Danio rerio: one gene and its partner. The protein of the gene in region 2 purifies or fractionates together with the protein of the main gene of each other region. This does not show direct contact. Links are inferred from orthologs where the notes say so. Each region holds a gene or a part of one and is shown on either strand. Other genes may lie near its edges. The genes, in order: magi1b and rapgef2b.

Region 1 (3,828 bases), on a different chromosome or scaffold from region 2:
ATAATCCGAGTGCAGAGCTCTGACTGAAAGCTCTGAAACGGCTCAAAACAGGAATTTGAAGCCTTGAGATTTGTGTGTGCAAACTCTTGAAACTTTTTAAAAGAGTCAAATGAGTATATTCAGTGTTTTCTCTCATTTCACGCATTTGCATTTCTCTATTCCTCTTTCATCTCTTTCTTTTAGTCTCTTTTGCAAGCCAAAAACAGGTAACCTTGACATTTCTATCTTTTTTCCAACCATAAAATTCAAGACAGACAGAGAAACCAGTGTGGAAGTGTCATATGGGGGTTAACAGACAGCTGAGTTAGGTCCTCAAGGGAAAAGAAAGAGCCATAGGCTTCATATTTATGATCGGCACAGAGCATCTTAGTCTGGACACTTTCCTGTCATTCACTCTTCATCTCAACTGCATGAACTTTCATTCATGAACACTAACTGAACAGCCACATGTGTTAGTCTTTAATCGGGCTGCTTTCTGTTTATATTTCTTTCTCTACACTCAACCATAAAGGTCTGCACAGAGCCAGGCCAACACTGAAGGATGCTGTTCACATTCCAAGGTGTAGCATGCAGATGAAAACAACAGTAAAGTGAGGAAAAAAATGTGAGAAAGGAGCTTACAGCATGTAAGAGCAAAAATATGAAGCCAATCAGTGACATCTTAGGCCGTACTCACACTATGTACAGTTGCCTTAAACCGGGCCAAAGCACGCTTGTCCCCCCTCCCGTCTCCCCGACGGCCCGTAGTCACATTACATTCGGGCCTGGACACGATTACGTCATCGATGCTGCACTAGTGAGTAAGCGCCCTTGCTCAGCGCAGTGGACATTTCTTTAGTTATATCGATTGAGATGCAGTGACACAGTCAAATATTTCGCCAAACAGATCTGCCACTTTTGACGCTCATAAATAACCATAAAGTCCTCGTGCTGCAGGAATTAGTAGGTTGCTGTAGGTGCGCAGGTGTCGTGTAGTGAAGTGTTTTCGTCTTTAATGATCTATGACACTTTTCTTTCATTGAACAGTAAGAATTATTAATAAATCCATATGAAACGGCCCCTAAAAGTTATGTCTCTCTTTCAGTTTCGGGCTTAGGCACATTTTGCACTCACACACAAGCGTACCACGCCAAACCCAAGTGAACTGCGCCCAATTCAGTGCACTTACACTTCTCAAATGATCCGGGAAACGGGCCTGGGCACGGTTCGTATAGCATAGTGTGAATACGCCCTTAGTGACTTCTAAACCAACCAGCCAACCAACCACAATTTGTTCTTTTATGGGATAAAACCTTAAAGAAAAATGTTATAAAATATAATAAACTAACAGAAATTCATTCATTGGTTCACTTTCCTTTTAGCTTAGTCCTTTTATTAATCTGGAGTTACCACAGCGGAATGAACTGCCAACTTATCCAGCATGTGTTTTACGCAGCAGATGCCCTTCCAAACTGAAAGTTAATGTGTCAGTATGATTTTTTTGTATATATATTTTTAGTAAGGATGTTACTTTGATCAAAAATGACATCAAATCATATAACGTGAGGGAGATTTACATATATATTTTAGAATTTTTATATTTAGTTTTCATATTCATTAATTTTTTTTTTAGACTTAGCCTTTATTATTCTGGGGTCACCATAGCGGAATGAACCGCTAACTTATCCAGCATATGTTTTTTTTTTTGCAGCGGATGCCCTTCCAGCTGCAACTCAACACTGGGAAACACCCATACACACTCTCACACACACTACGGCCAATTCAGTTTATTCAATTCACATGTACCGCATGTCTTTGGACTGTGGGGGAAACTGGAACACCCAGAGGAAACCCACGCGAACACGGGGAGAACATACAAACTCCACACAGAAATGCCAACTGACCCAGCTGGGGCTCGAACCAGCGACCTTCTTGCCTTGAATATTTATATTTATTATATTATATAATTAGTAAAAATACTTGTAATATAATATAATAAATTATAAAATATTGGTAATAAAATAAAAACTATACTCTTAAAGATGGTTACACTAGACTTTAAGCACACAGAATATTGACAGACGCTCTAATGTTGTCACACTATTTGGCACATTTCCTAAATTAAACCAATTTAAAATATGTAATATATTCTCTAGATATAAATTTAGATTTGTTTTATCCAGCAAATCTAACCTTATATCTACCGAATTGCAGAAAAGTGTAATATATTAGTAGAAGCATTTATAAAGATCGACTATTGTCCAGGTCAACAAGACAAAAATTTGCCAGTTGGAGTTTACAAAACATGAACTTTGGAATGTTGTGAAATTTGAAAGTGTTTCCCTCCCTACTCAGTTCATTCAGGATGAAGGTAACTCTTTTCCTCAGCAGAACATTTAAAAGATTTTTAGCTCAAACCTTGGTCCCTGGTGTTTCATAAAATGGAAGTAAATGGCTACCGGCACTTTCAGAATGAATAAATGAAAAACAGACAAAACAAATTAAATAATAGTGATTCTGAAAGTGTTGTAGTCAATGATTTGTATTTAAAGAAAAACCAAGCCACCAGGTTCAAGACAAAAACCTTTTATTAATGCTCTACTGTAAGTCACCTGGATCTTGTCTGACCTGAGGATAAGTAAATCAACAGCAAATTAGCATTTTTCCATGCAAGCAACCGTTTTTTTTTTTGTTTTTGTTTTTTTTTTAATGCTTTTGGATTTCCTTTCTCACTTTTCCTTTCATGTCATAACATTTTGGTGAGCTTACCTCGTTGCACCAACATGGTCACTTCACTGCCTTTAGGACACTTGCTGAGCAGGTCGACCACCTGATTGTGCGTCAGGTTCTGCACGTTCCTCTTGTTCACCTCCATGATGATGTCACCTTCCCTCAGGCCTCTGCATCGTGGGTAATCCACTATCTGCTTTACTCGCTGGCCTCCTCCAGACGGGCTGTCTGCTATTGTGAAGCCGAATCCCTTGTCGCCTTTTTCCATGTGGACAGTAATAAGCTCGGGCTGGGTGGCGATCGAGGACGCCAAAGTCACCACATCACTGGGATAACCATGAGAGCCATTGGAAGCCACCTCTGCTGAAGGGCTATGGGGGCGAGGAGGATCACTGGAGCCATTTAAGCTACTGCCTCCAGCTGTAGTTTCGCTCCCGTGGCTGGATGGTGAGTCGTAGCTTTCTTTTCCATTGACAATGATTGGCTCCTTGTCCAGAATGGCCACTGAAGTCACCAGGCTGGTGTTGGGGTCATCAGGGTCAAAGGGCAAAGGGTAGCCACGGCAGAGTTCAAGGTCGACCATAGAGCCAATAGGGATTGACTGGAAGATCTTCACAACTTGGGCGTGTGTGTAACCCAAAACGCAAGTGTCGTTCACACTTACAATAACATCACCTGAGGGAGAAAAAAAAAACTTGCGATGAGCAAAGTACAAAGATTAGACTACATCACGCGTTTATGAGTTCATGGTTTTCAGATGTACCTGTTTCCATCTTTCCGTCAAGGGCAGCGGGTCCATCGAGCACAAGACTCTTAATCTGCAAGAACTCATCGGGTTCATCTCCTCCTACTACAGTGAAGCCGAACCCACGCCTGCTCTTCTTGAGCTTGGTGTTAATAAATGTCCCCTTCAGTTCTGCAGGGTTCCTTGTGAAAAATGGCTTACCTCCTGCAATGAGAAAAGCGATGCACAACTAGTGAGCTATGGCAATCGGCAACGGTAAATCTGTTGGCCCCTGTGTAGAAGATTATTATGTATACCTTTGAGTATTAGGACACAGCAAATCTTGAGAATATTTTGTTTCAAGAAAAAGCTGTGCAGCAAAGTTAACTTCACGA
Region 2 (3,928 bases):
TTTTTTAGTTACAAACCGTACAATTTCTTGTGCCTGAATGCTTTAAACCAGTGGTTCTCAAACTGTGGTACATGTACCACTAGTGGTACGCAGGCTTCCTTCTAGTGGTACGCAGAGGAATGAAATATGTCATGTACATACTACACACATTTAAAAATTTATCAGAAATTATGTATATAATATGCCGTATATGACATATAGCCTATATTTCTGAGGTAATCTGCCATGTTTTTTAACTGTGCAGAGTTGTTGAAACTTGTATTATTGTCGGCTAACGTTAGTGAAAGAGTCGTTCGGGGGATTCATTCACAAACGAATTGCTCCTCCGTCAGTATGAGAAGTGAAAGCAGGAGAGGAGGTGTGTTTCAGGACACGGATTATATTAAATTTAACAGGGAGGGTGAAAAGTACATTTCGGTACACACAAACACAAGCTTCTTGTCAGGAATGCCCGTGCGGTCACTGATCCATCAATGTAGAAAAGTGATGTAAAATTATAATTTTCGTAATTAGAAACAAAAAAAGAATTACACACTAACATCCAGGAAAACTCCTGATCATAGATATATGTGTATATGTGTATATCTCTGGCTTTGGATGGCCACAGTCCTCCACTGTACCTTGGTCCCGCATTCATTTCAAAGGAGCGCTACCCTGTAGCAAGATGGCGGCGCTATTGACGCATTCCGTCCAATAGACAACAATAGGCCAGGCGACATCTAATGTATATCTATGGGAATCATCTGCAGCAGACCTTAAAGCTCAACACTTTTATTCCACTATCATCCTTTAAAAATTAAATCCAGTTAATAGTACAAGATAACAGTGCTTGTTTTTAGTTTTTTTTTTTATATATATATTATTATCTGCATTAGTGAAATTGTTATTGTATTGTGTCACTGCTGCTTAGTATCTACGTTTTATGTTGCCTCTTGGCCAGGTCGTCATTGTAAATGAGAACTGGTTCTCAAATGACTCACCTGGTTAAATAAAGGTTATTAAATTTGGTTTTGAAAATAATCAAGCATAGGTCTATTTATTATTTTATATAAATATATATTTGATATTATCTATTATATAAAAATCAAAACCTACAGTCATAAATAAACACAACGGAGCAAAGATTAAGTGACATCATTTGTGGTTTTCTGGGGAGCCTAACAGTTTTCAGGTAAATTAATTGAAGAATTAAATGTAAAATAACAATAAATAGGTCTTCATCATTTAAATTACAAAAAAATAATCTTTATTAGTTACAAACCGTACAATTTCTTGTGCCTGAATGCTTTAAACGATCTTAAAAACCCTCACACAGTTTCAGGAATGAATAAAGATGCACACAAATGACAAACTTTCAACATATTATGGTTAAATTCTGCAGTGGCTCTACAAATCTCTTCTGGTCAATTATAATCCCAACTCAACATTGCATATTCTCCGATGTGACTATTGTGAACATACACATTGTGATATCAATGCTGAATCAATATATTCTGCAGCCCTATCTCCAACTGCATTGATTTTAATAGCTGAATGAATAAATCCCCAAATTATTCACAGAAATGCTTCACTCTGCTCATTTGAGAAGTAACTGAATTGATTATTATAACTAAAATATAACTTAAATTATTACATTTGGTTTTAAAACCAGCGCAATCTGCATCAGTTCATTCAGAATCGCTCACTTAAACGATTCATTCAAACTCCGACTCGTTCACACACAATAAACAATGATTCTATTATATGAGAATGACCTCAAATGCACTTTAAACATAGACCCTATTCGGTTATTTAAGGTAAAAAGCACACAATCTGGATCAAAATGACCGTAAGCTGATATAAAACAGGAGGTAAAATCTAATTATCCAGATGTACAATAGAAGAATCATTTGTCTTCCTTTATGTCTGACAAAGCAGCCTGTCACTTTAAGAAAGCGACTCACTAGGATCGAATCGTTATCTTAGTTTCTCCAAATGATCCCAAACTAACATAAATAACACAAACTAAAATGCAAATTCATCTCGACTTTTACATATATCAATATCCTCACAGCAAAGTAATAATAAGATAATGTTCCTCTCTCGCCGACTGAGCCCACCAAAGGGTGGAGACTATAACGTTACAGCAAATGTCATAGCAACGTCTTCCAAATCATAGGCTAACCGCACAAAAATGCTGTGCTAAACATATAAACCTTCCTATATTCAACATTTAAGTCATGTTAAACTATTTCCCATGAAAACAAAGCGTGTTTAGTTGTGAACGATGCTAAGTTTACATTCATGTTGATGTTAATAGACTCCAAAAACATTGAAGATAACATTAACGCGAATATCTTATAAGCTTATTAGGACAATTGAATTCAGATACGCGTGTAAAGTAGCATAACTACAGCACTGTCAACACTATAAGGGTACATTAATTTCCTCCACATGACACACAGCAGAAACCCAGCGTATACTGTAACAGTTAACAGCCACATAATAAATGATTTAAAGACTGACCTGTTGCGTCCTGTCTGACGGATTCACCATCACCGCCTGCCGAAAACTGTTATCCACATAGGACGCCATGCTCCTGGATAATCCACAGCCGATCTCTCACGCAAGTGGTTTGTTTATGAAGGGGGCACAAACCCAGTTTTTATTTCTCGGAAGCTGCAGAGAGAGCTTGTCTTGTCCCCAGGCCACAGCCTGAGCCAGGAGCTTTCTTAATGTCCCTCGACCCGATCCCACAGGCACCAGACCGGCTGCTTTTTCCTCTTCCAGCCGCTGGAGCTTCTCCAACCGGACGCTGAGAGGAGATTTTTAAGCAGTGAGTTTTAGCTCTGTTTTACGCAGACGAGTGCATTTCTCAGCATTCCGTTTGTCCCCTGTTCGCTATTCCATCTTCAGTTTTCCATCCTAAAACAATGTCCATTGCACGCGCTTTGGCGAGTGTCCATTTTAAGTGATTTCCAAAGCAGCGGAGAGTGAAAAGCAGCATTTATACTGAGTGTTTCAGTGTCTAGAAGCGACGGATGGTCTGCTGTCTGTCTGGGCTTGCTGTTGTAAAAGCCGCCGCCACCACCATGGTGACCGACCGAGCGCCTCAAGAGGTTCATGGGCGAGTCCATTCAGCACAATGCTTGTAATGCGCCCTCAGTGCGCTTTACTCACAACACGTGGAGTTTTGGCGACATCCGCTGGACGATGGTGGAATTGCAGCTTTGAAGAAAAGGTTATACTGTATTATTGCTCAATGGTTAGCTCTGTCGCCTGACAGCAAGAATGACGCTGGTTCAAGTCCCAGTTGGCATTTCTGTGTGGAGTTAGCATGTTCTCGCTGTGCTGGTGTGGGTTTCCTTCGGGAGCTCCGGTTTCAGTTCAAAGACATGCGCTATAGGTGAATTGAATAAACTAAATTGGCCAAATTGTATGGGTATGAATGAGTGTGTATGGATGTTTCCCAGTGATGGGTTGCAGCTGGAAGGTGTTTACACACTGTGTAAAACATATGCCGAATAAGGTGGTACATTCTGCTCTGGCCACCCTTGATGAATAAATTGACTAAGCCCAAGGAAAATGAATGAATGTTGCTTTTACAGTCGTCCTGAATAAAGATCATTATTATTGTTATGTCTCAGAACGGTTAAACCAGTCCTGTTTAAAACTCAATGTAAACAAAACAGTTGCAATGTACCTTTCTAAAACAAACATAGCAAATAATCTAACAGATGTCGACGTGGCTGGGGACAAAATATATCAGGGCTCAACAATAAGGACTGCCCGATGGCCCGGGGCCAGCTTGAGAGACACTCAGGACAGTAGACAAGATCATTAATCAGGGGCTGCCACAGTGGAATGAACCACCAATTTATCCAGCATATGTTTTACACAGCCGTTCTAACTGCAACCCAGTACGGGGAAACACCATACATACTCATTC

The links.
Region 1: the proteins of rapgef2b (region 2) and magi1b purify together in Homo sapiens (co-immunoprecipitation; 3 studies listed by BioGRID and IntAct, with this or other methods). This does not show direct contact. The link is inferred for Danio rerio from reciprocal best matches to the Homo sapiens genes RAPGEF2 and MAGI1.

What each region holds. Positions count from the first base shown.
Region 1 is NC_133186.1:21,133,681-21,137,508, reverse strand, and holds part of magi1b (membrane-associated guanylate kinase, WW and PDZ domain-containing protein 1b), read right to left. Parts: intron 3,659-3,828; coding exon 3,473-3,658; intron 3,385-3,472; coding exon 2,749-3,384; intron 1-2,748. UniProt on the Homo sapiens protein: Plays a role in coupling actin fibers to cell junctions in endothelial cells, via its interaction with AMOTL2 and CDH5. May regulate acid-induced ASIC3 currents by modulating its expression at the cell surface.
Region 2 is NC_133189.1:52,681,745-52,685,672, forward strand, and holds the start of rapgef2b (rap guanine nucleotide exchange factor 2), read right to left. Parts: upstream 3,105-3,928; 5' UTR 2,575-3,104; coding exon 2,506-2,574; intron 1-2,505. UniProt on the Homo sapiens protein: Functions as a guanine nucleotide exchange factor (GEF), which activates Rap and Ras family of small GTPases by exchanging bound GDP for free GTP in a cAMP-dependent manner.